Linked DNA regions of Diceros bicornis minor. The protein of the gene in region 3 purifies or fractionates together with the protein of the main gene of each other region. This does not show direct contact. Links are inferred from orthologs where the notes say so. Each region holds a gene or a part of one and is shown on either strand. Other genes may lie near its edges. The genes, in order: XRN2, KPNA1 and CDKN2AIP.

What was found.
Region 1: the proteins of CDKN2AIP (region 3) and XRN2 purify together in Homo sapiens (affinity purification with mass spectrometry; 4 studies listed by BioGRID and IntAct, with this or other methods). This does not show direct contact. The link is inferred for Diceros bicornis minor from reciprocal best matches to the Homo sapiens genes CDKN2AIP and XRN2.
Region 2: the proteins of CDKN2AIP (region 3) and KPNA1 purify together in Homo sapiens (co-immunoprecipitation; 4 studies listed by BioGRID and IntAct, with this or other methods). This does not show direct contact. The link is inferred for Diceros bicornis minor from reciprocal best matches to the Homo sapiens genes CDKN2AIP and KPNA1.

Annotation. Positions count from the first base shown.
Region 1 is NC_080758.1:47,783,726-47,793,778, forward strand, and holds the start of XRN2 (5'-3' exoribonuclease 2), read left to right. Parts: upstream 1-6,176; 5' UTR 6,177-6,218; coding exon 6,219-6,293; intron 6,294-6,736; exon of another isoform or gene 6,737-7,062; coding exon of another isoform or gene 7,063-7,131; intron 7,132-10,053. UniProt on the Homo sapiens protein: Possesses 5'->3' exoribonuclease activity. May promote the termination of transcription by RNA polymerase II.
Region 2 is NC_080754.1:23,340,923-23,350,395, reverse strand, and holds the start of KPNA1 (importin subunit alpha-5), read left to right. Parts: upstream 1-4,998; 5' UTR 4,999-5,148; intron 5,149-9,473. UniProt on the Homo sapiens protein: Functions in nuclear protein import as an adapter protein for nuclear receptor KPNB1. Binds specifically and directly to substrates containing either a simple or bipartite NLS motif.
Region 3 is NC_080768.1:15,320,403-15,330,816, reverse strand, and holds CDKN2AIP (CDKN2A-interacting protein), read right to left. Parts: upstream 4,736-10,414; 5' UTR 4,673-4,735; coding exon 4,401-4,672; intron 3,953-4,400; coding exon 3,822-3,952; intron 3,138-3,821; coding exon 1,789-3,137; 3' UTR 1,028-1,788; downstream 1-1,027. UniProt on the Homo sapiens protein: Regulates DNA damage response in a dose-dependent manner through a number of signaling pathways involved in cell proliferation, apoptosis and senescence.

The DNA.
Region 1 (10,053 bases), on a different chromosome or scaffold from region 3:
CGCCACCTCAGCATGGCCAGAGAAGCGGTGCGTCGGTGCGCGCCCAGGATCCGAACCCGGGCCACCAGAAGCGGAGCGTGTGCACTTAACCGCTAAGCCATGGGGCCGGCCCCTAGCATCATTATTTTTAAAAGTACCCTTTCCCCACTTCTCTCCTGTACAACTGCTATCATTTTTCAAGTGTTCATACATTTGCAGGTCTATTTTGGGGCTCGTTTTCTATTGGTTCCTTTGTCTATTCCTGCACCAATACTTTATTGCCTTAATTGTTACAGCTTCATAAGTCTTACTTCCTAATTTAAATAGCATCTCTTCTCCAACAAACTAAAGTACATTAATTTCTAGGTCCTAAACTTGTTTTATTTGAATTAAAAACAAAAGTCTGCAAAAAAAGTATTCATTCAACTCAAGAAAAATTGATTTAGAGTGGAAAGGAAGTTAATTGGAGGCCTATCTCACATGAATAGCAAACATGCACATGACAATTTGCAAATAAATAAGACAATTGTATTAGTCAGGGTTCTCCAGAGAAAGAGAACTAATAGGATGTGTTAAAGAGATATATTATAAGAAATTAGCTCACGTGATTATGGAAATTGGCAAGTCCAAATCTGGTGTGGGCCGGTCAACTCGAGAGACAGATCCCAAGCCAGTGGTGCAAATGAATTCTGAAAGCAGTCTGCTGGAGAATTCCCTCTTGCTTGAGAAGGCTGGTCTTTTTGTTCTATTCAGGCCTTCAACCAGTTGGATGAGGGTAATCTGCTTTACCAATTAAAATCTTAATTTCATCTGAAAACACCCTTGCAGAATTACCAAGAATACTGTTTAACTGGGCACTCCCAAGCCCATTCAAGTTGACACATAAAATTAACCATCACAAGTCGACCCCTTGTCAACCTGGCACCCATATGCATCTTCAAATAAAGACAATAACAAGCTCATACTTCTCCTAACAACTATCTTGTGTACAACCAAAAACTTACTAACTCTTTAACCAGAAGAAGATGCAAAGTCCTTAAATGATGTTTACTCTTCTCCTTGATACCCCGTAACTTAAATACTACTATGTAAAATTAACAATACTTAAATATCGTGATAGTCAATACATTTTATGTTACATGATAAGAGAATAAGTGAAGAAAGAAAACAAAGGTATTTGCTTTATACACACACACAAACATATTCATAACAAAATAAGGAGGAAATACTCATGACAATTACAGTTCTCATTTCTATAATTGGTCACATGGCCATAGTTGATATTCATAACTACCTTCTTCCACTACCCATTTCAAATTTCCTTTGCCTTCTTCAAGCACCTCAGTTAGTCTTGGTTCTTTACTTGGTGGGGTGACACAAACCTTCATTCCTGAAGGGTCTAGGCCATTAGTAGTCCTGCCTAAATTGGGTGGCTGTAGTTTTCCATTGACTTTATTTATTAATTTTTTTTGTGAGGAAGATCAGCCCTGAGCTAACATCCATGCTAATCCTCCTCTTTTTGCTGAGGAAGACCGGCTCTGAGCTAACATCTATTGCCAATCCTCCTCCTTTTTTTTTCCCCCAAAGCCCCAGTAGATAGCTGTATGTCATAGTCACACATTCTTCTAGTTGTAGCCACATACATAGCTGTATGTGGGACGCTGCCTCAGTATGGCTGGACAAGCAGTGCATTGGTGCGTGCCCGGGATCCGAACCTGGGCCGCCAATAGCAGAGCGTGTGCACTTAACCGCTAAGCCATGGGGCCGGCCCTCCATTGACTTTAATCACAGGGCATGGTAATACTAAGAGATTCCCCAAGAGATCTCCTATATTCCAGACATACCCTTCCTTACCTCCTTTGTGGAGTAGCAGTCCAATTTCCTCTTGGTAGTCAAGGTCAATCACCCCAGCCAACACAGTAACTCCCTCTCTGCCTGTTGAACTTAAAATGGCCAGGTGCCAGTCTTAACTTTCAGTTCAGTGGAATCATTACCATGTCTCCTGGTGGAAGCATTCCTTCCTTTGGAACTAAGACCTCTAGGTTCGCAGAGTATAAGGTTACAGGAACAGGAAGCAAAAATTTTGCCACTGGGTCACTATGGGTAATAGTGAGTGGTGCCACTCCTATTTCTACCCCTTGATACCTGGACCTGTGAATCTTGGCTATGGGAGAAATAGTACCATATATGGAATGCTGCTTTAGAGCATATACAGCCTCCTGGAGTACCTTGTCCCATCCCTGCAAGGCATTGCCCCCTAACTGACAGTATAACTGAGGCTTCACCAGGCCATTCCACTGTTCTACCTACCAGCTGCTTCAGGATGGTAGGGAAAACAGCAAGACTAGTGAATTTCATGAGCATGGACCCATTGCTGTTCTTCATTGCTATGAAGAGAGTTCTTTCATCAGAAGCAATGCTTTTTGGAATACCATAATGGTGGATAAGGCATTCTAGTCCACGGGTGGCAGTTTTGGCAGAAGCATTGTGGGAAGGGAAGGCAAATTTGTATCCAGCATGTGTCTGTTCCAATAAGAACAAATGCTGCCCCTTTCATGATGGAAGTGGTCCAAGACTAATCAGAATTAAGGGTCTCAATGCCCCCAGCTCCATCAGTATTCCCACATGTCCTTATTCCAACTTTTAGGATTCCATCCATTCCTTCCCAAACACTGCCCTCACTTTATCAGTAGACATCAGTGAGGCTGGGAATTCAATTTGTTTTGTAATTCACTCCCAGGATAAAGTTCTGAGATAGTAGATAGGGTTCTGAGTTTGGTTTTCAGCCATCTCAGCCCTGTGGCTACAGGGGATAAGGGTTTCTTTCAGGGCAGACATAGATTCTTTTAAGTCATTTATGTGGTGCTTGAGCTGGGAAATTGAATCTCTGAGTTCATCCTTTTCTCTCCCCACTTTGTCCACCAACGTTAGGAGCAACCAGCCAATCCCACTATATTTGTTAGTTTGACAAAAATGCTTGAAGTATCATATACATGGTCACCCAGATTCTTGCTTTTTATAAGTGGTTGATTAGGAATATCCAGTGGTGATATTTTGCCTATCTCTATTGCCAGATCACACCATGTACTATCAGTGCTCTCTTTATTACTGGAAATAGTCCCCAGTGTCTTTAAATCTAATCAGATTAGAGAGTCAATTCCAGAAGCCCCAGAACCAAATCAGAAAATGCATTCTTAAGATTCTATTCCTCTCAAACCATTCCTGGTACCAAAATCTGTATTAGTCAGGGTTCTCCAGAGAAAGAGAACCAATAGGATGTATGTGTGTGTATACATATATATATATATAAAGAGATTTATTATAAGAAATTGGCTCACCCAATTAGGGAGACTGTCAAGTCCAAATCTGCAGTGTGAGCTAGATAACCCAGGAGAGCTGATGGTGTAGTTCCAGTCCAAAGGCTGGCAGCCTGGAGTCCCAGGAAAGCAGATGGTGCAGATGAATTCTGAAGGCAGTCTGCTGGAGAATTCCCTTTTGCTTAGGGAGGCTGGTCTTTTTGTTCTGTTCAGGCCTTCAATGGACTGGATAAGGCCCATGCACATTATGGAGGACAATCTGCTTTACTCTACCAATTAGAATGTTAATCTCATAGGAAAACACCCTTGCAAAAACACCCAGAATAAAATTTGACCAAATATTGGGGCATTCTGTGGCCCTGTCAAGTTGACACATAAAATTAACTATCACAACTATTATTTTAAATACATCAGGTTATTCACAATGAATTTTGTAAAGATAATGAGGCAAAGGAAGCACTTGATAATCCAGATAGCAATAGTTTTTTCAAAATTTTTTAAAGATTCATTTCTATAATTACAATGTTAACAAGGCTTTAAAATGAATTTATGAATGTTCACATTCTGGTTTCTATATAGTCTACACGTTAATGTAATCTAGATGTCAGCTGGGAGGCCTCCCCTGCTCCCTTGAGGTCTAGGCAAAAATGATTCAAAACCTCCTGGTTCCTATCCTACAGAAGTTCAAAGCCTGGTTCAATATTCCTGCTAATTTCCAATGCTTACAAATTCTCACCTCTTCTGCTTCTTGAGCTCTGCTATGCTGCCCAGCCCTGTGACTGTACACCACAGTGACCCCGACATGAGACTCATACTCTTTTTCAAATTCGACAACACAAACCCCACAGTGAGCCTGAGTCTGGTAGACTTTATTAGAAACACTGGGCTGGGGAAGGTATCTCACAATACTTAGTCCATATCCTCCTGCCATCTTTCAGGTTCCCTCTCTTCTCTACTTCCACTTTCACCCTCCCCTTTTCTCAGTGCCCAAAATTCCAATTTTTGTACCTCCTTTATGCAAAGCAATTCTAGCACCCAGGTGAATTAGCTGTGTACTCCTCAAATTTTGTTACTGGTTTGTTTGGATTCTTTCCTTTGCAAGGGATGGGAACTTAGCCCAAACTAGCTTGGGACAAAAGGAGAATTTACTGGCTCATAGAATTAAAGAATAGGTTTACCAACCAAGCTGCAGGAAGAGGGATTTAGCTGTACTCAAAAACCACTGGAACCAGGGACTTAAATCTGCTTCTCTCATTGTGGACTGGCAGCAAGTCCCATTCTCTTTCAGCTTTCAGCTATCTGGGAGGGACTGCCTTACCTTCCTATGGTTCTCAGTTCAAAAATGCTGGGCAAGGACTCTCAATGGCCCAATTTGCCCAGCTGTTCAATCACGTACCTTGTGTGTGGTCTTACAAGAACACAGCACCTCCTAGGGGAACCAAATACTTGATGAGTAGGGCCTGTTTCCAGAAGAAATGAGGGACTTCACAATAGACATAATACTCTGGAATAGTTCTGGCTGTCCTTAAGTAAAATATGGGCTAACCATTTCTCTTAATTTCCACACCAGCAGTTTAAACAGTTTAAAGAAGTTTAAAGTGGCATCAGACCACAGAGGAAGGGGCAGTAAATATTTGCACACCAGGTAGCACGGAGAAATACTTTCATAGAGGCCTCTTGAGGTGAGCCTTTAGGACTGAGCGTGATTTGTCAAGCCAAGAGGGGATTCCATGGAGAAACACTTCCAGGCTTGAACAAATGGACATAAATATCTCTTCTTCCAGATCTCTTTGTATATGCTTAAAAAAAGGATTTGAAGCCATCAGAAAATAAAGAATAAAAGCATCCTGTTACTGTAAGGACAGCATTAAACGATCTTTACTTGGACTGAAACACAGCAGTATGAATAAGCAAGCATAATTTCATTTATTTATTTTTTCCCCCCAAAGCCCCAGTAGATAGTTGTATGTCATAGCTGCACATCCTTCTAGTTGCTGTATGTGGGACGCGGCCTCAGCACGGCTGGAGAAGCGGCGCGTCGGTGGGCGTCGGGGATCCGAACCGAGGCCGCCAGTCGCGGAGCGCACGCGCTTAACCGCTAAGCCACGGGGCCGGCCCGATAAGCAAGTAACTTAACCCCTTTACAGCTTGGCTTTCTCATCTGTTACATGAAGATGATAATATGTTAACACTCTCAGAAGGTTCACGTGACAATTAAATGAGATAATCCCTTAGCCAAAGCTTTAGTACGTGGTAAGCACTCAAATGCTGGAGAGTGATACCAGCAATTATTTTATACTCATAAATGTAGCTGGAAGGTTGAATTAGATGCTAAATGCCGGCTAGATCCCCTTTTATAACTAAAGGGAGTTACGCAAACCAGCCATCATTCGTGTAAAATACCTAAAAATATTCCTTTTCATAGTCCAAGTACGTACTGTGGCACAAAACCGGGAGAAACCAGGCCATAGAAATAATGAGTGTGTTTAGACGCTTTGATTCTACTCTGAATTGAGATGGGTGAGAAAAAGGAGGTGATCAAACCGGCAAGGAAGACCTCCCCGGGCGCCTGCGGAGCACGGGGATCCCGCCCCAGTGGAACCCGAGGGCTGGGGAAGCAAGACGCCGGCGCATCCCGGGATTCCCCGCGACTCACATGAGGTCGACCTCGGGCTTCAGGGCTGGCACCACTGAAAGCTAACGCCGCAAGCGAGGCCAGCCGCAGCCCCCACCACCCGGTCAGCCGCAGAACCCCGAATCCCACAACCAGCCCGGCCCCGAGCCTCCTTCCCGGCTTCCCCGGCGGCGGCGCCGTGACATCACTTCCCGGACGGCGCGCACGTGGGAGGAAGTCCCGGTGCCGCGGCTGCCGCTCCCGCCTGTCTCTGGTTACGTTCGTTCGTCCGGGGCCGCGCCGCCGCTATGGGAGTCCCGGCTTTCTTTCGCTGGCTCAGCCGCAAGTACCCGTCCATCATTGTCAACTGCGTGGAAGAGAAGGTGAGGCGGTGCCTGGCGGCAAGCCCGGAGCCCCAGCGCGTCTGGGCCGCGGCCCTCGGGACCCGCCGGCCGTCCCCGGGGTGCCGTCCGGGGCCCGCGCTGCTCTGTGGGCCCCGCGGGCGCCCGCGGCCCGACACGCGGTTGGTCGCCGACACTCGTTTCCGGGGCCCTGGGAGAGCAGCCTCGGCGGGGCGAGGGCCGAGCGGGGTCTGTGCTCGCTGGAGGGCTGCTCCTCCCCTGCCCGCTTTTTCCGGCCCGGAAGGCCCCGCCCACGGCTTTGTTTCCTCTCGGCACAGCGCATTTTGGGTTTCAGAACAGGCTCGAAGGTGTTGGGCTGCACACGCCTGGTCCGCTGAGTTACCTGGGTAGCGAGGCGCACATGTTGATTCCAGCCTCTTACAACCTTGTAAAGTAACCCCCCGCGGCGAGCTTTCTGTTGTTTACTGCCCGTGCTCGAAAGGTTTTCTCCTGGTGCGAAAGGACTTTTGTTGCTGTTTTAGATCCTACGGTGAAAGCAGCATCTTAGAAACGTCTAGGACGAGATAGAAGTCTCATAAGTGCCCCCTTCTCTAGGTGCCCCGACTGCTGGACAGAATGCTTGTTGAAATTTTCAGAATTCCTGGATGCACTTAAATACTTGTTGTTTGTTTGTTAATGTATATGTAGACTTCTGGCCATTATTGAGTTTTCTCTTTATCGTTCCCGTGATCCCGTCCGAGTTCGATTTTGTGCTTAGAATTTCCGGATTGGGAAGGTTCAGCGGCGCTTCATGCCCCTCGCCCCTTCGTTTTTGAAGGAAGTGCCCGTCAGTCACAGTGAACTGCATTCTTTTGCTGAGGTTGGTGAGATCTTGATTTTTACTTAGCTTCTATCCAGGAGGAACCGAAAGCCTTGTTTTGACGGCAGTTTCAGTATTCCTTGTGTTTTTCCCAAAGAGAAGCTGTTAAACTGAATGCTGGTTTCCTTTGTTTTTAAAACTTCCATCAAACTTTACTTGCATCTCATCCCGTTTCTACTCTGTAGAGATAACCATTTTTAACTGTTTTGGTTCTGTCTCTAGATATCATGATTATGCCTGATTTATTGGTTTTGGATCTATCTGTTGAATTCTAGCTATGATAGAAGAGGATTTCGTCACTTATGCGGCTCCCCCGCCCCATTCCTAATAGTAAATCGCTGTCTTTATTTCATCTCTTGGTAAGCTTTATAACTTTGAGTAATGTGTCTTTTTTATTACATCTTCTATTTAAAGTATCCCTTGACTTCTCACTTTCTAAGGTTAGGTATTAGCTTTTCTATAAGTTTTCTACCTCTGCTGCTCTTACTCTTCACGCCAAGCTTGCCAGCTGTACTTTTGCTTTGTTGGCATCCCAAACTAAATTGTCACGGCTTTGGCTATATATAGGATTGTTTTAAAAGCTGAAAAATCAAATAGTATTGTAAATTATTGTCACTTTCCAGATTCAAGTTATGCTGTGATACTGTTTCTTTTCTTGTGCTACTTTTGTCTTTTTCTTGGTGTTATCTTTCTGTTTTCCTCTTTATACGGTTCCACATCCAAACTCGCTGTTTTATTAGGTGTTCTATCAAGTCCTCTTCTTGGAGACTCCTTCTTGAGGTCTTTATTTCTGTTGTTGTCACACCTGGTTCTTTAGGCTTGCTGGAAAGCTGCTTCCTGAGATTTTTAAAAATTCCTTTCTTCAGTTGAGGGTACTATTTTCTGATCATCTTTCTTGGCCTAAATCCTTCCTTGGTTTTTATTCTCAATTGAATTCTTAAGAAATGCTGTGCAGGGTGTGAGTTTTCTGATTCTGTTCTACCCTTGTACACATGAGTGATCATTAGCTAGGCATCAAGTTTGAGTTTGCAAATTAGTTTCCCTCAAATCTTTGAAAGTGCTGTTCTTTTGACTTATGTCATCCAGTATTTTTGATGAGTTTTTTTTTGTGAGGAAGATCGGCCCTGAGCTAACATCTGCCAATCCTCCCCTTTTTGCTAAGGAAGACTGGCCCTGGGCTAACATCCGTGCCAATCTTCCTCCACTTTATATGGGACGTTGCCACAGCATGGCTTGCCAGGCGGTGCGTCGGTGCCCGCCCGGGATCCAAACCGGCGAACCCTGGGCCGCCGCAGCGGAGTGCGCGCACTTAACTGGTTGCACCACCAGGCCAGCCCTTTGATGAGAAGTTGAATGTTAATGTGATTTATTTATTTAACCGATACTTATGTAGTATTTAACACATACCAGGCACTGTTCTAGGCACTTTATAGATTAATTTATTAAATTCTCATAACAACCACATGACTACTACTACTTACTATTATTATTATTACAGATGAGAAAACTGAAGCACAGAGGGGTTAAGTAATGTACTCAGGGTCACTTGGCTAATACACGGCAGAGCCATTGTCAAAATCAGGAAGGCCATGCTCTTAATTTCTGTGTTCTGCTTTCATTCTTTTGTAGTTGATCTATTTTTCTTTCTGAATCTTTTCAAGATCTTTATCCTTGGTAGTGTAAGTGTTCATGATTATGTACTTAGGTATAGATTTTTTTAAAATTTAAGTTTATTTTGATTGGTGCTTGGCTGACTCTGAGGCTGAAGACGTGTGTTCTTCAGTTCTAGGGAATGCTCCTTGATTGTTTCCTGACCTCCTTTTTCACTGCCCTCTCTGAACTCTGGATCCTGGTCCTCCTAGACTGATGTATTTTTCTTTTGTCTCTCTGTTCTCCCCCTCCTCTCCTCCTCCTCTTGCAGCTTTATTGAGGTATTATTGACCTACAACAAACTGCACATATTTAAAGTGTACAGTTTAATACATTTTGAGATATGTGCACATCCATGAAACCATCACCATAATCAAGATAATGAGCGTCACCTCTAAAACATTCCTTCTGGCCCTTTGTTATTCCTCCCTACAACTCTGTGCTGCCCGTCGTTAGTCAACCACTGATTTATTTCTGACTCTGTAGATAAGTTTTCATTTTCTACAATTTTATATACATGGAATTATATAATATGTACTCTTTGTTTTACCTGGCTCAGTTACTTTCATTCAGAATAATTATTTTGAAATTCGCCCATGTTCTTACATATATCAATAGTTCATTTCTTGTTATTTTTGAGTAGTAGTCTATGTTGTGCATGTATCACATTTTGTTTGTTCCTTCACCTGATTAAGGAACATTTGGTTTGTTTCCAGTTTTGGGCGATTAAACAAAAAAACTTCTGTGAACATTGGTGTACAAGTCTTTGTGTGGACATGTGCTTTCATTTCTTTAGAGAAAATACTCAGGAGTGAAATGGTTGAATTGCGTGGTAGGTGTGTGATTATTTAAAAATTTGCCAAGCTGTTTTCCAAAGTGGTTGTACGATTTTACATTGCCGCCAGCATGTGTGCAGGTTCTAGTTGCTCCACTCCCTCTCCAGCACTTAGTCTGGTTAGTCTTTTTTAGTTTTAGCCGTTCTAGTCTAGTGTTATCTCGTTGTCGTTTTAATTTTCATTTGCCTGATGACAGATGATGTTGACCATCTTTTCAGGTGCTTATTTGCGTGCTGTATATCTTCTTGAGCAAGGTGTCTATTCAGATCTTTTGCTCATTTTTAAGTTGGGTTGTTTGTCTTATTGAATTGTAGAGTTTCTTACGAGTTGATATGTCTTTTGCAGATATTTTCTCCTACTCTGTGGCTTACCTTTTTACTTCTTACCAGTGCAAAGAACAGACGTTTTTAATTTTAATGAAGTCTGTTTTATATAT
Region 2 (9,473 bases), on a different chromosome or scaffold from region 3:
GACCTTCTAGGCTTTAGCACTCAAATTCCCACATCCTGGGAAACCCTCCCAGGACATACAAAAAAATCCCTGTCTTCTGTGATGGATGTGGAAGGTTGAGGGAAAAGTACAAAAGCCATATGACAGCCACAAAAATAGGGACTGAAAGTGACACCGCTTTTAGTGTCAAATGGATATAGCATAGATTATTTGACTTCTATAGCCATTATCATTGTTTTTTTCCCCTGCCCCCTGATATTGGTAACCATGATGTGCAGTTCACAATAATGACCATCCATCGTTACGGCATTCTGAGTGATGTGACTTAAGTGTGCAATTTAAGTGTGTTGTAGTCATAAGCACTGGCAGTCCATCTTTGGATTTGCCTGTGGATTAACCATTGTGCCTTGTACAAGTTGAATTTTTTAACATTGTGAATATTGTGACCATGTTTTATAAGAGTGGAGATAATGAAAATGTGAATGATTATAATACCAACAGCAGCATGACCCAGACACCACAGCAAAAGAAAGCTTAATGACTGTAATGTTAATGACAGATGGTAGGACAAAATAACTGGCTTAGGAAGGTAAATAACAAAAACAGAGCATACTGTACAATATGGAGAGAATTTGGGATTGGGTATGGTAGACAAGAGGACGTAAAAGCACATATAGAGACTGAATCTTATACGTTTGGGATGAGATAGACAAGTACTTCAAAATCAATCAGAAGGTTTTGTTTCCCCAAAAGACCCAATGCTCAGTTGAACATAGTGGCTGCTGAATTATCGTGGGCATATCTCATGAACCAACATGCATTATTGTATTGTGCGTTTGATTGCTCTATGGAACCGAGTAAAGTTACATTTCCTAATTCAAAATAACGTTCCCCCTAGCTCTTAAGGTAATTTGACTTGAAAAATGGAGTTCTGTCTATCAAGATTTTGAGGAAACCACAAACACATAAAACAAATGGTGTTACATCTTGTCCAAAGACAAAGTAGACTTGGCTCATTTATTTGTTTTCTGTGCAAATGTTAATTTTGACAAATTCTATTCAGTTTCTAAACTTCTTAACAAAGAAAATGAAACAATCTCAACTGCTAAACACCTTATACACAGCGCTGCTAAAAGAGGGGTGTGGTTTGATTACCTGTGATCTGGAGGTTTTCATAATGTGTTTGGTCATTTCAGTTTCCTCAAAATGTGCAGAATCATTTAATGAAATTTTTGACTTGATAGAAATGGAAGGAGATAGCTTCCTTAAACATATGCCTGCAAGATGGCTATCATTGTTGCCAGCCACAGAAAAGATGTTAAAATGTTGGCCTGCCATAAAATCATATTTTCAAAGTGTGGAAGAAGAATAATGTCCTGCTCCAATTTGGAAATATGCTGAGGATGAGAATGGAGAGCATTGCAGTGAAACAGAAATAAACATGCTGGTTCTCCAAAACTGTCTGATAATCCTTGAAGAGGCCACAAAGAGTCTAGAGAAAGATAAACCAACTGCACCTGAGTTATTCAATGTTATATGTAGGTTGTGGCAGAAACTCCAACAAAAAAAAAAAAAGACTAACTTTTTAGAAATAAGACGGTTTTAGAACTGTAAAAAAATGTCCCTAGAAAAAGGCAAGCAAGTTAAACAGAATTGCCTGAATTTTTTTTACTAAAACTGTAAACTTATTTGGAATCTAACTTCAATTTTACAAGTTCAAATTTCCTCTGTGTTTTAAAATGATTTTCCTTGGGGAAGGGAGTTCTAACTTATGATAACATACAACGTGCTTTGCAGTGTTTTAAAAACGACTGGCATTTTAGATACGGAGAGCCTATATGGTTAATTTATAGATGCAAAGGACCTGATTGACAAACAGCTGGTTTACCAAAGCAAGTCTGTAGAAACCAAGTGGGTAGACATTTTGGAGAGCTGGAAAGGAATTCCTACAAGTTCAGAAACCTGCTGTGCTAGTAAATAAAATCCTAAGTTTTTTACGCTCAAACACTTTTGTTGAGAGAATATTTAGCTTGGTGTTATTTACCTCGACAACAGGAATCAATGCAATGCAGGCAGAAGAACAGAGCTGTAAGTCAAAATTAATTTTATACTTGACTATATTCAGTTTTATCATTATGTAAAAGAAAAGAAAGATGTCCTAAAGGCTCCAAGAAGTTCAGAGAAGTATTAATGGAAAAGGAAACTGAAAGAATAAAAATATCCCACTGTATCATAGCACAGAATGAAACATGTTATTTTTATTTAATATAGGTAATATCTGTTTAATTACTTCTATTGTATTTACATTCTCCTTTAAAAAATTCTTACATTTACATATCTTAAGAATATAGAATAATATAGTCTACAAAATTTAAATATGCAATAGAGTTAAAAAAAGAGTTAAATTGCTGTACCCAGACACAGAAAGAAACATAAAAATATTGTGTTATAAAAATAGTTACATTTTTCTCACACATATTATTTGCTTAATTAATCCTTCTACTAATTATTACTAGTTGCCACTTTTAGCTAGTCCTATTGCTATTTTGTTTAAGTAACAGCATTTATGCAACAGAAGAGAAATACAACATGTGTATAATTACTATATATTATTATTTTCACACCCATCAGACTGGCAAAAATAAAAAAAGTCAAATATTTCCAAACGTTTGCAAGGATGTTTAGAAAACAGAATCTTATACGTTGCTTGTGGAGTATAAACTGATACACTATTTCGCTTTGTCATATAACTCAGCAATATCTAGTATATTAGTTTTCTAATGCTATGTAAAAAATTACCAGAAACCTTGTGGCTTAAAACACATTTATTATCTCACAATTTCTGTGGGCCAGGAGTCCAGGCACAGCTTATCTGGTTTCTCTGCTCAGGGTCTCATAAAGCTGCAACCAAGGTATAAGTCAGTCTGTTTTCACACCTGGAGGCTTGACTGGGGAAGAGTCGGCTTCCAAGCTCTCTCAGGTTGTTGGCAGAACTCATTTCCTCGCAGTTGTAGGACTGAGGGGCCTGGCTTCTTACTGGCTGTCAGCTGGAGGCTGCACTCGGGTCCTAGAAGCCATCTGCAGTTCCCTGCCATGTGGCCCTCTCCATAGGCAGTTCACAACATGACGGTTCACTTCTTCAAGGCCAGCAGGAGAGTGTCTAGCTCTGGTCTGCTAAGATAGAGACATAAAGGGAAATGTAATAAAAGGAGTGACACCCCATCGTCTTTGCCATATTTTATTGACTCCAGAGGTAGGCATTATACAGGGCAACACCAGGGGCCAAAGATCATGGGGGCGATCTCAGAATTCTGCCTACCACATCTAGTAAAATTAAAGATGCAATGTCCTAGGATCTAGCAGTTTCCTTATACACATGAAGATACGTACAAGAATGTTCATAGCAGCATTGCTTGTAACAGAAAAACTATTGTTCTATAATTTTTAAATTTTTCAAAATACAAAAAGATATAGTCAGAGAGACATTAGCTAATAAAACACGATGTGTGGTATAACACTTTTGTCAAAGTAACATGTATATAGGAATTCTTCTCCAGCAACTGTTGTTGTCTTGAACAAATCCTACCGCCACTGAGAACAACTGGACAAAATATAAAAAACATTAAGGCATTAACGAGCTACCATGGCAGTGAGAACTTGTGGGTCCAAGATCTGGAAGAAAAGGGAAGCCATGAGAGGCGAGCCTGATGGTTGCCATCACTTTTCCACCGGAGGTGATTGCTAATTCTGAAAGCAGTGGCTGAAAAACCGAGGTCTCAGGATGTTGAGGAGGCCCAGCCATAGAGGAGAGGCCCTAGTAAATACTCCACACTTTTGGTTGGGACTCTCAAGGCCTACCCTCGCTAGGACTAAGGGTGAACTGGAAATAAACTAGCTTTCACAAAGACTTAAACTCTGAAGAAAGAGAGTCCAACTCTGAGTAATTTTAGCTTCTGATTGGGATAAAGTGATCTGTCCTCAATTTAGCTGTGGTCAGGCATACTTGCTCCTAAGTCCCCGCCTTAGAACACCTTCCCTTTCTCCAGCCCCTTTGCTCAAACTCACCTCTCACCCTAGTCAACACAACATCAGTGGGGAATACTGATGGAGCCGAAAGAGCTCCAGGACAAATGAACATGGCATAGCCCAGGATTCCGCTAGCGTGGTCCTCTCTCCCGCATTTATAAATGTATTACTCGACCTCCTCTCTTTCGCCTTGCTTCCTGGTGGGTGTTTTAAATCAATCTGATATCCCATGTCACTCGTGAGACTTTCTATTCCCCGACCTTTGCTTGGCTGGCTTCGGTCTTTCTTCTTTTGAAGCCACTGCTCAAAAAGAAATTCCCCAAAAAGAATTTTTTCAAACTTAGCAGTAACAATGATTTGCCCCAAGTCTTCGTTTGAGAGCATTTAGTGAGAGTTAAAGCAAGTATTTGCGTTTCACTTAATTTCTTAGTGATTTCTGATGCTCCTCATACATTATCAGGCAAAGGGGATGGGAGAGAACTAAAAGAAGGAATACCCAGAAGCTTCCTCAAACGTGCTGCATGTGAATGCCTTAGACATGAGGCGCCGACTTTTAAGACGTTTGTAATACTCCCTCAGCCTTCCTTCGTTTCACCATTCATTCAGCAAACGTGGCTTAAATATCAACCAAGTTAGAGGCTAGCTATAGATAGAGGCGAGAGAAGATCCGTCGGCCCTGGAAGAGCTTCGAAGACAGGTTTGTAGACATAACTTTGCAATTTAACCTAAGAAGTACCGTTTCACTGTCACTCCACCACGATTCTCCGACCTCGGCCATTGACTGCGAACCTCCTCCTCAGCGGGACCTGCTCCCTGACCTCCGACTCCGCACAGACTCGAGGCTAACCTCAAGGCTTCTAGAGGACGACGGTTGGGAGACTACGCCTCCCGGCAGCCTCTGCAGCAGGGTGGTGGAGGGGCGCGCGCAGGCGCCTGGGCCGGTCCCCGCGCGCAGGCGCCCTGCGAACGCCGGCTGAGCTGGGTCTGGCTGCTGGGTGCGCGGCGGCGAGAGTGAGGCCTGGAGAGCACCGCCGCGGCGCGGGTCGGCTCTTCGAGGTTGTGCGCGGGAGGGGTACGGCGGGCAGACGAGCGAGCAAGCGGCTCCCCCCAGCAGAGGCACCGGGATCGGTTGCCTTGACCCTGGTGAGTGCGGGGGCCCCGCGGCCCGGCCCCTCCCCCTCCCTCCGGCGGCTCGGTAGTCCTCGGCGGGACCCGGGAGAGGCCCCGGGGCAAGGGCGGGCGCCGGGGGCGCTCCAGCTCGGGTACCTGGGCCGGGGCGCCCACGGCGCGTCCGTGCGTCACGGGCCCAGCTGTCCTAACGGCCGCGCGGCCAGCGGAGGGGAAGGTGGGGGCGGGGAGCGCCTGTGCGAGGGCCATAGCGAGCGCCGGTCGAGGCGGGGCGGGGCGGCGGCGGGGTTGGACGCGGCGCCGGGGACTGCGGGGCGCCGAGGCAGCGGGGCGGAGAGGAGGCGAGCGCGGAGCCTGCGCCGCGGCCCGGCGCGAGCGGGCGGGGGTGGGCAGCGCGGAGCGCCGTGACTGGGGCAGGGAAGAGCAGGGGGGGCGTGTAAGAATCCTGACCGAGGCGGGAAGGGACCACCTTGGGAATTCACAAGTTGCGGCCCGAGTCCGAGCCGGGGGCTGGGGGGGGCGGGGTGGAGACGGACGACTGCAGTTTACAGATGTCATAACAACATGGGCCCGAAGCGGCTGACGGGGTGTGGTAATTATAGGAATGACAGAACTTCGTCTGCACACAGCGTGTGTAAGTGGTGATGCGAGGGGAACAGCGAAGTATTAGATGAAGCTCAAAATGGGAGGAGAAAACTGGAGGATGACTGGAGTCCGGGAGGTCGGCACGAAGGAGTGTTTTAGGTTTGAATGGGAGTGTTTAATGTTCCACGTTTAAGTGAAAGATTTCAAAATAATTGATTTTCAAGGTTTACATTCAGAATAAGCAATTTTGAAGTGTTTTTTCTAAAACATGCTATTAAATAATATTACTGACTTTTTCAGTATTTTTTTTCCTTTAATAAACAGTTTCTTCACAACTCCTATTTCTTAGCAGTAGATGAGTAAGTGGTTTTTTTCCCCGCTCTTGTTTCAACGCTGACTCTTGACGTTGTTTTTTCCTTAACTTGTTCTTGTATTTGTAATATTTTGAAAGTAATCCACGTTATTCCCCCTTCATTTTAAAGATTGAAGAGATGAAAGTGATTATGAAATCGATTATATTTTTACTGAAATAATTTATTCTTGAAAGGCACTGTTTTATGTGTAATGTGTGATTTTAAGATGGAGGACGTGAGAGAAAGTAAACGAATTAACATTTATTGAGCTCCTTTCCAGGTATTGTGCTCAATACTTGACGTATATTAAAACATTTAATGCTGACAGTAACTCGGAAGTAGATGTTAATTTTTCCTGTTCTACAGATGAAAACTTTCAAGGTCAGAGAAGTAACTTACCTGAGGTCATCCAGCCCTTGTTGGAACCAGCCTTCGAACCCAAAGTCACTGCCATTCTAAGAATGATTTCTCCTCTCCTTTTATATTTCTTGATGGTGTTTTCTTTCTTTAATCCACTCGTTCAATGAACAATTATGGAGTGATCATGTGCCCTGAGACTGGGGATATGGACGTGATCAAGACACTGTTCCTGTCCTCATGGAATTTATAGTGTAGGGGGAGACTAACAAAGAAAATAAATATTGACTGCATGACATTTTATCAGTCATTATGTTTGTTTATTGAGCAGAAACTATAAAGTACTAAGTAGCAAAGGAAGTTAAAATGGAATCAGACAACATAAGCCTTGAGGAGTTTACAATCTAGTAGGGAAACAAAACATACATTTATAAAAAGCTAGAATAAACTAAATGACCGACATAAATGCCTCACCTGAAGTCACTGTACTGCATTATGTTACTTTAGGTCCTCACAGAAGTTTCTCCACAGAACTAGGATTTAATATTGCACCTTGACTTTTTTTTAATTTTTATTTTTTGTTTATTGCAGTAACATTGGTTTATAACATTGTATAAATTTCAGGTGTACATCATTATACTTATATTTCTGCATAGATTACATCATGTTCACCACCCAAATACTAATTACAACCCATCACCACACACATGTGCCAAATTATCCCTTTCGCCCTCCTCCCTCCCCCCTTCCCCTCTGGTAACCACCAATCCAATCTCTGTCTCTATGTTTGTTTATTGTTGTTATTAGCTACTACTTAATGAGGGAGATCATATGGTATTGGACCTTCTCCCTCTGACTTATTTCACTTTGCATAATACCCTCAATGTGCATCCATGTTGTCACAAATGGCTGGATTTCATCGTTTCTTATGGCTGAGTAGTATTCCATTGTGTATATATACCACATCTTCCTTATCCATTCGTCCCTTGATGGGCACTTAGGTTGCTTCCAAGTCTTGGCTACTGTGAATAACGCGGCAGTGAACACAGGGGTGCATGTATCTTTACGCATTGGTGTTTTCAAGTTCTTTGGATAAATACCCAGCAGTGGAATAGCTGGATCATATGGTAGTTCTATCCTTAATTTTTTGAGGAATCTCCATACTGTTTTCCATAGTGGCTGCACCAGTTTGCACTCCCACCAGCAGTGTATGAGTTCCCTTCTCTCCACATCCTCTCCAACACTTGTTGTTTCCTGTCTTGTTAATTATAGCCATTCTGACAGGCATGAGGTGATATCTCATTGTAGTTTTGATTGGCATTTCTCTGATAGTTAACGATGTTGAGCATCTTTTCATGTGCCTGTTGGCCATTGCACCTTGACTTTTATCTAGGATTGGTACATAGGAAAAGGCAACATGAAAAAAAATCTTCATTGCTACCCAAGACACTGTTTCTTATTTATCGATTCTTAATAAAGTAGAGACTCTAGAGACAGATTCTTTTTAAGACCCCATGATAGCCTTTTTCTTTTTTTTTTAAACAAATGACTGCTTTTATTAGATCTTTTGTGTTTTGTAAGCTATCTTGTTTCTCTTTACACTTTGGCTGACAGGAGGCTCAGAGCTGTGTCCAATTTTTGTAATTTTCCTTAGCCTCACCTATGTTATAAATTATACCAGGTAGTCTGGGATTGCTCTCAGTTGTTTCCTGGACTATTTTCTTTGTTCTCTGTTGCTCTTGATGTTGTTTTTACCTTTTCCCTTTCATTTGAGAGTAGAGATTATATCTTATTCTTTTTATCTCCAGTGTTTTAGCATAGTGTTTGTTGAGTTAATGATAAAGTCTTGATTTATGATGTTTGTGTGCTTAAGCCTGTCAGATTGTTTTTAGAAGTATATGTGAATACTTTGTATAAAATTAATTAAGACTTTTGGCCATGTAAATAAAGATGACTGTCCTAGTGATAGAGATAATTCCCTATTGCTCTCTTTGTTTTAAGATCTCTGTACTTTGCAGAGTATTATGAATTCAGCCATAATAATGGAAGAAAAGATGGGAAACGGTAAACAATTAAATTAGCTGATTGGGGCTGATTTCACTCTATTATTGCTGCCGTAAGCAGGAGGTGGCCCCAGGCCATGGGGGGACGGGGGAGAGGTGAGGGGCACATAGGGCGTTAGCAGATTTTGAGGTCCTGCAGTGAAAGAGCACGGATGAAGGCTGATGGAAAGGTAGGTTTTTTTTTTTGTTTTTTTTTTTTTAAAGATGTTATGACCCTACAAAACAGAGCTAAGTGGTAAAATGGTTCTGACCTACTGTAGTAGACTAACTGGGACAGTTCTTGAAAGCAGGCAATAATCCAGAATGTGGATAAGGGGGATAATCTCCTTCACGTAACAAGAATAATGCTGGCCTTCATGTACAAAGATAAGTCTGCTTACTCATCATCATTGATTTTCCAGCATGAGGAGGGATATGTGCTGAGTTGTCCGTGAGTCGCTGTACTCTGTGACCAGCAAGGCAGCTTGGGGTCAGAAGGAGTTTGTAGCTAGGGAACAGAAAGACAAGCAAAAGGCACTGACATCTATTGATGGGTCAAGCACTACATCAGGTGCTTTAATTTAATTATCCTTGCAAAACCACCTTGAGGAGGTGGTTACAAGTGCAGGGTGGTTAGGTAACTTGCCCTGCTTCACAGACTGAGTGGTGGAGCTGGGATTCAAATACAGGGCTATTTGTACTATGTTCACCTCAGTTGTTAAAAGCCTGCTTTTATCTGGGTTTGCAGTTCAGTCTCTCCAGCAGAACAAATGATGTAGTTCGTTTAGCATCGTGAAATGATACTGTAAGGCTCTAATTTACTAAAAGCTGAAAGGCTGTTCAAGTTTCTGGCTTTATTGCCATTAAAAAATACAATTTTTTTTTAGTTAGAATAATATCTGAAAAACAACTGTCCCCTGTCCCAGCCTCCGTACTTGAGAGGCTACCATTTTCTTTCTTTTAGCTGTTTCCTCTTTCATATTTATAAATAACTTGCTTCTAT
Region 3 (10,414 bases):
TGGATTAAGTTTTGACTAAGAGTATTTTATCAGCTTTTAATAAGATTGTAGCAAATAAATGTTTACAAATTAAAGTGTTTGTTTTTACACTAAGCAGCTTCCTCAAATTCAAACATATCAAAAGGCTACTATAATTTAAAATATTTTCAATAAACTTTAACTTGAAATAAGCCAATTTAGGAAATTACCAAACCACTTAATTAGATACATTACAGAAATTTATTGTTCTTTCTAATATTCAGCTCACTTTTCTGGCAACACTGTCCTGCAAAATACACATTCCGAAAGTGAGGTAATTCAAGTGCTTTGTTATTGGTTCTCACAACATATAAAGGCAACCCATTGACAGAAGATGGACTTAGCTTTGGTATCCACTTCAACATCCTCAAAAATGAATCACTTTTGAAGGTTACCTGGTGAAATTAAAACCACTCTTGATTTCAAGTATATCAAGTATCCTTGTCTATTATTTCCAGAATATAAAAATAGAAATAACTTCTACATACTTAAATTGTGCTACTTGTGTTCAATTTTCCTATTCCAATACAAATGTAAATGAAAACATGTAATGTAAAAGGTCATTTCTTGATTTTTCTCTGTACATTATCACCAGTACTGCTCAATGTGCAGCATCTAGAAAGCCAGAAGGCCACAAAAATAACGAAACATCTTGGGCCAGAGTTTGAAGAAAAATGAAACAGAATATACCACAATAGAGTAATACAGTCAGAATCACCTAAGACACACAGGAGGATTCCATTTCATTACTAACAAATGTTAATTCAATTGATCAGGCTCATTGAAGAGCTGAGCTTGGCTCTCTAGTCTGCCCAGTTATTCTTCTATGGGATTTGTAAACAAAAGAACCATCTAGTTCTAGATTTGCAAACTGTAACTTCTCTACCCATAAAAAGTTGTATATCAGCTATGAAAAATTACCTGGTTGCAGTTTACAGTGGCTAGTAGTAGGAAGCCTATTTGCAGTAATTGGTTCTGACTTGGGGGGAAAAAAAACACAACTTCTTGAAAAGGTAAAATAGCTTAAAGCATTTAATATCTAAACAAATCAATCTGTTAATAGTAGTAGTCACAAAATATGCTTAATATAGAAACCCACATTTATGTTAAGAAAAAGTGTAAATTGTATTTTACCTCAAAACATAAATTAACCCACTTAAAGAATCTGCAGCAAAATCATGGTGAATTTTAAACAACTTCAGAATAAAATAACCTTAAGTACTTTATACTGCTTTATATCTAAAAAATGCTTACAACTTCTCATAAAAATAGTCTGAGGCAACTATTTTTTCTTTTATTCTTTAAGAGACACGTTCAACATTATGGGCAACATTCTTAAAACCTTAAGCTTCACAAACTTTCAGACATTCAAATACTATGGTCCCCTTTTCTTGGATGTGGAGGTTTATTCAGCTAGAAAAAAAAAATGCATGGTAGACAATACATTTTCACCAAATTGAAAGTACAAAAGTTTTAAGACTACAGAACTACACATCGTACCTAATGTATCATTAAAAATAGAAGACAGTATTTTCTTCAGCAAACGAAAACAGCATACTGGTACGCCGTTAATGCATACTTTTTAATGTGTACTGTCATTCATAAATTATTTACAACTCCTATTGTGTGAAGAGAACTAGAATGTAAATTTTCTGCAAAACTGGAAAAAAGCAATACAAAATTTGTGAAAGCCTGTTTTATATTGTACAAAAGTAAGCCAGTTTTTGTCGTCAAATACCAGATACTGTATGCAGTGATATTTTGGACATATTATAGTAATTCTTGAGGATGTTTTAACGCCGGAGGTAAGTTTACAGGCCTTGACTCTTCATCAAGGAGTACTAGATCTTCTATTTCACTGCCTCTGTATTTCCTTTTACATATTTTTACCACCACCTTTTTCTTGAGAAATAACTTCAGTGCTTCTCTGGATGCAACTGCTTTTGCATTTTCTTTGCTTTTGCCACAGCCAGTGCCCAAATACACAGACTTGCACCTCAATTCACAAACAATACTTTCTTGAGAGCTCTTATTTTGAGGCAGATCTGCCAGTTCTTTTAGCGGGACAAAAAACACATCCAGTGTTGCTTTCAGAGCCTCAATAGCTGCATTTAGGAGCTCTCCGTGATTCACATTGGGACTAAAGCCACCAACAGCTACCAGCTTCCACGCCACCGTTTTATACAGTCTGTTGAAAAAAGGTTGCTTCTGTTTCACATCTTCATTGGTCAACTTGCAACAAGAGAATTTAACAGAACTCTCACTTAACTGTGAAGTACTTTTAGAAGGCAACTGTGATGTGCTAGTCTGAGAACTACTCTTGGAAGCCAGCTGGGACACACTCGCTAAGGAAGCACTTTTGGAAACCAGAGACCCACTGCCCTGGGAGCTGCTCTTGGAAGCTAACAGTGATGCAGCTACCTGCGAAGTGCTTTTGGAAGTCAGCAGCGATGTGTGTGTTGAGGTGCTGCTCTTGGGAGTTAGCGAGGATGTGCCTGATGAGGAACTGTTTTTAGAAACGGATGATGAAACACTTGCCTCTGAACTAGTTTTGGCAGTTACCCCACTTGAAGCTGTCTCTGAACTAGGTTTAGAAGACAACAGTGGCAACTCTACTTCTGAGCTTCCTGAGGAGCCCAACAAGGGCACCTCTATCTCTGAGAGGCTTTGAGAAGCTGAGACTGAAGAGCCTTCCAAAGCACTCTTTTCAGGTGATCCACTTTGTTGTCTGGATTCAGTAGACTGGGTCATATGACTATTCACACTGGATTTCAACAACGAAGAGACAAGCGACGCTGCACCATGTTTATCTGCAGCTTCGGGTTCAGAAGCTTTTCCAGACCCTGCCGCTGCTACCTGAGAGAAAAGGCTGCTGCTGCTTTGGCTGGAAACAGACCGATCTCCATCACTCGTCGAGCTGTTCTGACTCGAGGTACCAGAGCTCCGAGTTGAGTTCCCACTACTCTCGGATTTCACAGATGACCCCGTACACGTTGAGCTGACTTCCTGCTGAGCTGATGCACGTTCTGTTTTGGCAGAAACTTTTGCATGATCTTGCTCAACTGCAGAATTGTTTTTTCCTTCTATGACTCGTTTTTTCGATGGCTCTTCTACCCCTTCTAAAAAGAAAGAAAACATATGTGACTAAGCCTACCTCATACACATCTGCTGAAAATTTACAAGACAAATATTCATTAAAATAAAGGCACAAGGCGAAATATTTCAGGACTAGTAGTTTCTTTAAAAAGTGTATAATAACAAATTAATTTCTTAAAACAGCATTGAATAACATCATTAATTACTAATATTAAGAAATCAGGGCCAGCCCCAGTGGCACAGCAGTTAAGTGGGCGTGCTCTGCTTCAGCCACCCCGGGGGTTCAAAGGTTCAGATTCCCCATTGGACGCAGACCAAGGCACCACTCTCAAACCATGCTGTGGTGGCGTCCCATATAAAGTGGAGGAAGATGGGCATGGATGTGAGTCCAGGGCCAATCTTCCTCAGCAAAAAAAGAGGAGGATTAGCATTGGATGTTAGCTCAGAGCTAATCTTCCTCACAAAAAAAATAAAAAATAAACAGTATAGACAACATTTGACAATTCAAAATCTAAAGCAATCAAAGAAAACTATCAAAATCAGAGGCTAAAATACACAGACACATAATTTAGGTTTAATGTTCCAACTTGATTAATAACATTATATAAATTCTAGCTTATTAAAAAATTAGTAGTAACAGTAGTTCCTAATTATATCAAACTTATGTTCTAAACTCCTATGTATGTTCACATCTATGATCTGCTAACCATTGCTACTCGATATCCCTCTTTTCTTCACCTTGGCAACCAGTTCGTCTCTTGTTGTATGGATTGGAGCATCTGTCACTTTGATGCCTTCAGCCATACTAAGTATTTTATCCATAACTTTTTGAGGGTACCTGAAAAAGAAGGAGTAGACACTTTAAAAATAGTGTTTTTTCTAAGCTACTACTGCTGGTGTGCACAAACCGGCTACAGGAACTGCATTTCCTGGTTGTAATCAAAAAGTGCACCAACCGCCAGGAACTTTCGGTTTCCTGGAAGCCCATCAACAAACGCCCCAAGGTTGGGAGGCGGGGTCCCTCTTCGGCAACTTTTAAATGCAGCGTCCATCCACAAGAGCGTTGTCAGCCAACAGCTCGCCCAGCAGCCCCCACCCATCAGGGCCACCTCCAGACTGTAAATCATGTCGGCTTCGGGCAGAGGCGCCCTTCTCGCGCTTAGAGGGCAGCCGGGCCCGCCGATTCCCGCGCTTCGCAACTTCCCTCCCCGCCGAGGGCTCTGGGCCCCAGCCCGGGGGCGACAGACAAAACGGGGAGGGCGGCTCGGGGGCGCGCCCCCACTCACCGGCACCCGAGGAAGACGTGGTTGGCCCAGGCCATGGAGAAGGAGATGAGCTGCTGCAGCTGCCGCTTGCGGGTCCCGCTCTCGGCGTCGGCCGCGTCCTCCGGGGCCGCGGAGGCGGCGCCGCCCGCGGGGGCCAGGTCGCCGGCGTTGCGGAGCAGGAACTCCCGGCGGTGGCGCCAGTGTTTGTCCGTCTCGCCCTCGCAGCGCAGCGCCTCCACCCAGGCGGCCACCCGCGGGTTCTGGCTCAGGTACTCCGCCACCTCCTGCGCCATGTTGGGCCTGCGGGCCGCGGCGGCCGCGAGCCGGCGCTGCACCGGGAGGGAGCGGGGGCGCGGGGGCGCGCGGCCCTGTCACTGCGGCCTGCACCGGCGGCCAGACAGAGAACGCCCCTCGGGAGGCTCAAACGCCAGACAACAGCGCCCCGAGCAGCCCGAACCGCCCACTTCCGCCCGCCGCCGGCTCCTTCCCTTTTATAACCTCGCCGCCGCCGAGCGCCCGCGCGTCCTTCCGGCGCGAGCCGGCTCTCCCAGCACGCTTTGCGGCGCGGCGGCCCCGCCGGGCGGCGGAGGAACGGGCGCGCGCGCGGGGGGGTGGAGCGGGACGCCAGAGGCTTCGCCGGGGGCGCCTGGAGCCTCGGCGGGGCCCCCGCGTTCCCGCGGGGCTTTGTGACGCCGCGCGCCCCCGCCGCCTGCCCGCCCCGCCCGGGCCGCGGCGGCGCGGGCAGCAGAGGGCAGCCCGCCAAAGTCCTGGGCCGCGGCGCGCGCGTCCGCAGACCGTGCCGCCGCGCGGATGCGGGGGCTGCGCGCCTCCGCCCGCAGACGCTGCTTCTCAGCCGGGCCAAGATCAACAAAAGCTCGCCTCCATGTTTTGATTCTTTCAGAAAGCAGCTTCTGAATGTGGACAAGCGAAGCGTTCCGAGGCCGTCCGGATGGCGGGGCATTTAGGAATGCGGGGGTGCATGTGAACTCAAACAGCAGTCACCATAAAGCTAAACGATTAATGCAGGTCGCCGTTGCCCTGGGGAGTGCAGTCTTTGAAACTCACCCTCGCCCCGCAGGGTTGGTTTCGTTTCCGCAGTTCATCCCGGGCGATGCCCGCCTCGTCTCGCGGCCGTTTTTGGTCAATAACAGGACTGCGCCGTGGACGTTCTGTATCTGTCGTATTTCGTTCAAGTAACAATATCCCAATACCCCCCAACTGCACAAATAGCTAGCAGGCGGCGTGGAAAAGTGCCTCTTTGCCTCTCCCGCCCCAAACCTTTCCCTCCTGGAGCTGTTTTTTGCCTTGCATTTTTCCCCCCTTTTAGAATGTCCACACTTAACGGCATTACTGCCGGTTTGCTTGCTTGTTATCTTTCCAATTTCAGGCATATGTGTACTTTCAGATTAATAAATTTTAATAAGTTAAAATGAGTGATATATAGTAATGATAAATTACAAGAGGAAATTTTCCTTTCACTAAATGTAGATTTTGATTTTAAAATGCTTGAATCATACTAACCAAGCAAAAAAAAAAAAGACAAAATAATGGTCGCTTAGATAAGATTAGCCAAAAAAGATAAGCCAAGTCATTTATATACATGCGAAAACAATAAAAAATTCAGCTATTACATGGAAATGATATTGTCCACTTTCTTGCCATGCCAAAAGAATCTGCATAAAAACATAGGCACAAAGAAATTTTGAAGCTTGGAATTTTGCTTCTGGTTTTCCTTTTCTTCCTTTTCACTGAAAATTGCTGAAACTTTAGAGGGTTGAAAAGATGCAGAAATCTGGCAATTTAAAAGACTGGAGAAATTTCATGGTTTTTTTCCTTTCATGAATTCTTTAGCAAGAGGGAGATAAGCAAGTAAAAGAATCTATGATTACATACCTAGATGATGTTTGTGCATTTTAAACCAAGAATTTTCTCTTTTTTCCTGGTTGCCCTGTAGCCTTCCCACCACGGGCTTCATTGCCTTGAAGGGAGAGCAAAGAGAGCCTGAATTTCAAAAATATTTTTTAAAGTTATAATAAAAGCAATATGGTCTCAGGGTGGAGTTCTTAGTTGTAAGAGCCAGGTGCTTGACAGAAAAGATACATGTATTTTTCTTTTTGATTCTTAAGAAATTGGCTTTGCATGTAAAGATTCAGAACCATAGAGTACTAACCACAAAGTTGAGAAGAAGAACATACATTTAAAAAAAAAAAACGGCTTCTCTCCATAGGAGACAAATTCCTTCCCGGGCTGGAGGAGGGATTTATTTATTTTTTTTTTGTGAGGAAGATCAGCCCTGAGCTAACATCCGTGCTAATCCTCCTCTTTTTGCTGAGGAAGACCAGCTCTGAGCTAACATCTATTGCCAATCCTCGTCCTTTTTTTTTCCCCAAAGCCCCAGTAGACAGTTACATGTCGTAGTTGCAGTATGTGGGACCCGCCTCAGCATGGCTGGAGAAGCGGTGCATCTGTACGGTGCGCGCCAGGGATCCAAACCCAGGCCGCCAGCAGTGGAGCGTGAGCACTCAACCGCTAGGCCACGGGGCTGGCCCTGGAGGAGGGATTTAGAAAGAAAAGGTGAGAAGAGAACTTGGTGAAAATCAGTGGGGGTGGGAATGGGGGTAGGGATGGGCAGTGTTGGCTCTGCCTGGACCTTTGGGAGAAGACAGCCCATTTAGTGCCCTGAGCCAGCTTGGGTTGGCCTTTAAAAGAGTAGGAAAGAGCATCTAGAGGGCCCTTTATAGCTCTGATAACCAACTTTACCACTCCCTTCCTCCCCTGCCACCCCCCCACGCCTTGTCTCTCACAGGCCCTAGAGGAATGCTGAAGTGCTTCCCAGGCACCATGGTCCATATGACTGATGCTGGAGGGGTGGACAGCCCAGGTTTGCAAAGGCGGCTGCAGCTAGTTCTTAACAAGTCATCAGGCCCCTGAGATCCATGTGGGGCCAAATCAACAGAGGAGAGCCCTCCAGCTCTCCTGCAATGACCCTTGTGCACTTGTGCTGGGAGATCCAACAGTGCACTCTCAGTGGATCCCACAGGGAAGAAGGCACAGAATTATAAATTACAGAGATGATGCTAGGATGATACTGAAGCCTCTTCCCCCACCACTGCCGCCACTAGAAACCAGATCAGAGAAGGACAGGGAGAGAATCCTAATCAACCGAGAACTATCCACCACCACTCCCAAACTGAGTTTTAAGCCATAAGCGACTGAATTCTCTTAATTTAACAAGATTAAGTTTTCCATCGCAAGTGGAAGCACGTTCATTAAAACTGCTGCTACATTGTGTCTCTGAAGAAATCCAAAGAACAGTTCCAGCAGCAACCTGGCCTCTCTGCCAGATGGCTTCCCCTAAAGGGCATGGCCCCGGCTCCTGAGGGTGATCATAGCAGCAAGCAGAGGACTAAGGAAGCACTTGGTGTGAAGGTCTGCATGTGGGACACAGAGAGCAAATGCTCTAGTCAATGTCATGGCCAAGGTTATGGCTTGACTTGAGAAGCAGTCCACAGTGAAGGGAAAACGTGTACACAAAAGAGTGTATGAGGTCCCAAGTCAGTCAAATCACAGTGGTGATAAGACGTGGTGTCCTGAAAGTCCAGGAAGAGAATGTTTTAAGGAGAGAGTGGTCCCCTGTGTCAGAAGCTGTGGAGAGATCAAGTAAGAGGGATATTGGTCTTAATGGTCAGATTTGGAGATTGGAACCACTGGCAAATTTAGCAAACGTAGTTTTGGTGGAGTGATGGCGGCAGACTCCATACAGGAGTGAGTTCAGGAGTGGGAAATGGAGACATTTGGCTGTGAAGGAGATAAGAGAGAGGAAGCTGGAGACCAGGGTCATGGGGTCCAGGCAGCTTTTAAATTGAAGATGGGAGTAGCTTGAGCATGCGCATCTGCTGAGTGGGAGGGGCTGATAGAGGGAGAGTTTGAGGATACTGAAGAAAAAGAGGGTAACATAATTTCTGAAGAAGCAAGAGGGGCTAGGATCCAACACACAGGTGGAGAGATTAACGTCAGGGAGACAGAGAGACATCTGCTGCATTTTAAAAGGAAAAAAAGGTTTGTAAGTTTGGGGGTGGGGAATTGAGATGGAGGTCATTTGATGAAGTAGAGACTGCTTGAAATGGACATTTTAGATTGCAGGAGAGCAAGCTGTCTTGGAAAGACATAGTTTAAGTTCTGGCCAATTTTTTAAAAATTATAAATTACACATGCACACAAAAATGAAACGTTTAAAGAGAATTAAAAGGCATAAATGACAGTAAAAATCTCCCTCCCCTGTTGTGCCTGGTCCCACTCTGCATATATCAGATTAATGTCAATTTCTCTCTTTGTTTCTTTGGGTGGTTATTTTTGTAACTCCAAAATATAGGCTTATGTTTCTATTTCTTGATTTTTCAACTTTAAGCAGTACTTATTTCACTCCTGAATGTGAAAGATGATAAATCCATATTACTTACACTACCCCTTCTGTCTCCCAATTTTTGTTAGTTATATTTTTATTGTTCTGCTGTTGGCCACCTTTCATAAATTTAAATATTATACTTAATCTTTAAGATTATTACACTTAATTTTTAAATTCTTTAATCTTTAATTATACTATCATCTTTAGACAGTTAGCTCTTGATTCCCACATCATGTAAGAAGATTCTGGAGGAGAAACCATATGGCACATATTTGGACATTCAAAAAATCTGGCTTTAAGAGAAAATCTAATCCCTAGTGGGGATTGGCAGCAGGTGGAGAATTCTGAATTATTCCTGCTTACCTGCAGGGTTTGTGTCTTTTCATTTTTACATTAAGCCTTAACATTAATAAATGTCAATAAATTTGTTTGCTGCTGTGAGAAATAAGATTGTGACGTTACATCTTTCATGGGGGGTAGTTTCTAAAATCAGCATGTAAATGAAAGTCAGATATGATGTGATTCCGCTTTACCATCTTTTCCTGTGGTGTAGCAATTACTTCAATTTTATAAAGGCCCTTTGGGCATCTAGCGATGTGAAGAAGTAAAGAACTATGGACTTTCTCTGCAGGTTCACAAATTCTATTTTGATTAATTTCAGTTGCAAGTAACAAAAAATTGTGACTTAAAATTGCTTCTGCTTAAACAAAAAGGGAATTTATTGGCTGTGTTGTATATAACAGCCCAGGGAGTAGACTGTGGGCTCCAGGTACTCAAATAATATAATCAGAAAGTCTGTTTCTCTTCATCTCTAGACTTTGCTTTCTCTGTGTTAGCTTCAAACTTGGGCAAGCTCTTCTTACATAGGGGCAAGATGGTTCCCAGCAGCCTATGGCATATACATCCTCCATAGCTTGGCAGCCGCAGTAGAAAGAGAACTTATCTTGCTTGATAGTTTCTGCCAATGTCCTGAGGTTCTGCTGGGAAGCCATTGGTTCTGTTGGGTCATATATATATATCCCTTAAATAAACACTCTAGCCAGGGGTGTGAAATATTGTAATTGTACAGGTCTGTGTCATGTGCCTACCCGAAGAATAATAAAACATCTGTGTAGGGTCAATATCATGCAAGGGAAATAACAAACTCAATAAAACAAAGAATTTACACTCAAGGAAATGGAGATGACATCAATACGAACAGAAGGATCAGCAAATACCAGAAAAGATTTTAAAGAAAAGATGATAGTAAGCAGTTTCAAGTGACACAAGACAATGCTCCTATGGGAGGCCCTGTTATCAGGATGACTTACTTTCCTCCACATCTTAGCCAAAGTGATCAAATCTTTTGATAGCAATTCTTATATTTCTTTATACACTTTTATACAGAGCCATCCTGAAAACAATTCCATCTTTTTAGCCTTCATGTTCCTCCTAATGCCGACAAGATAAAGTATTATTATGTGTAATTTCCCATCTCTTTGTGAAACTCTTGACCTGTGCCTTATCCCAGAATGTGGAGTAAATCTAAGAAAGAGATACGGATACAGATCAAAGTTAGTATTTGGAGAAGTACAGTTCCAGTTCCCATAAGGTAGCAAACTTAATACTGGCTCTTCAGAATCATGGAAAG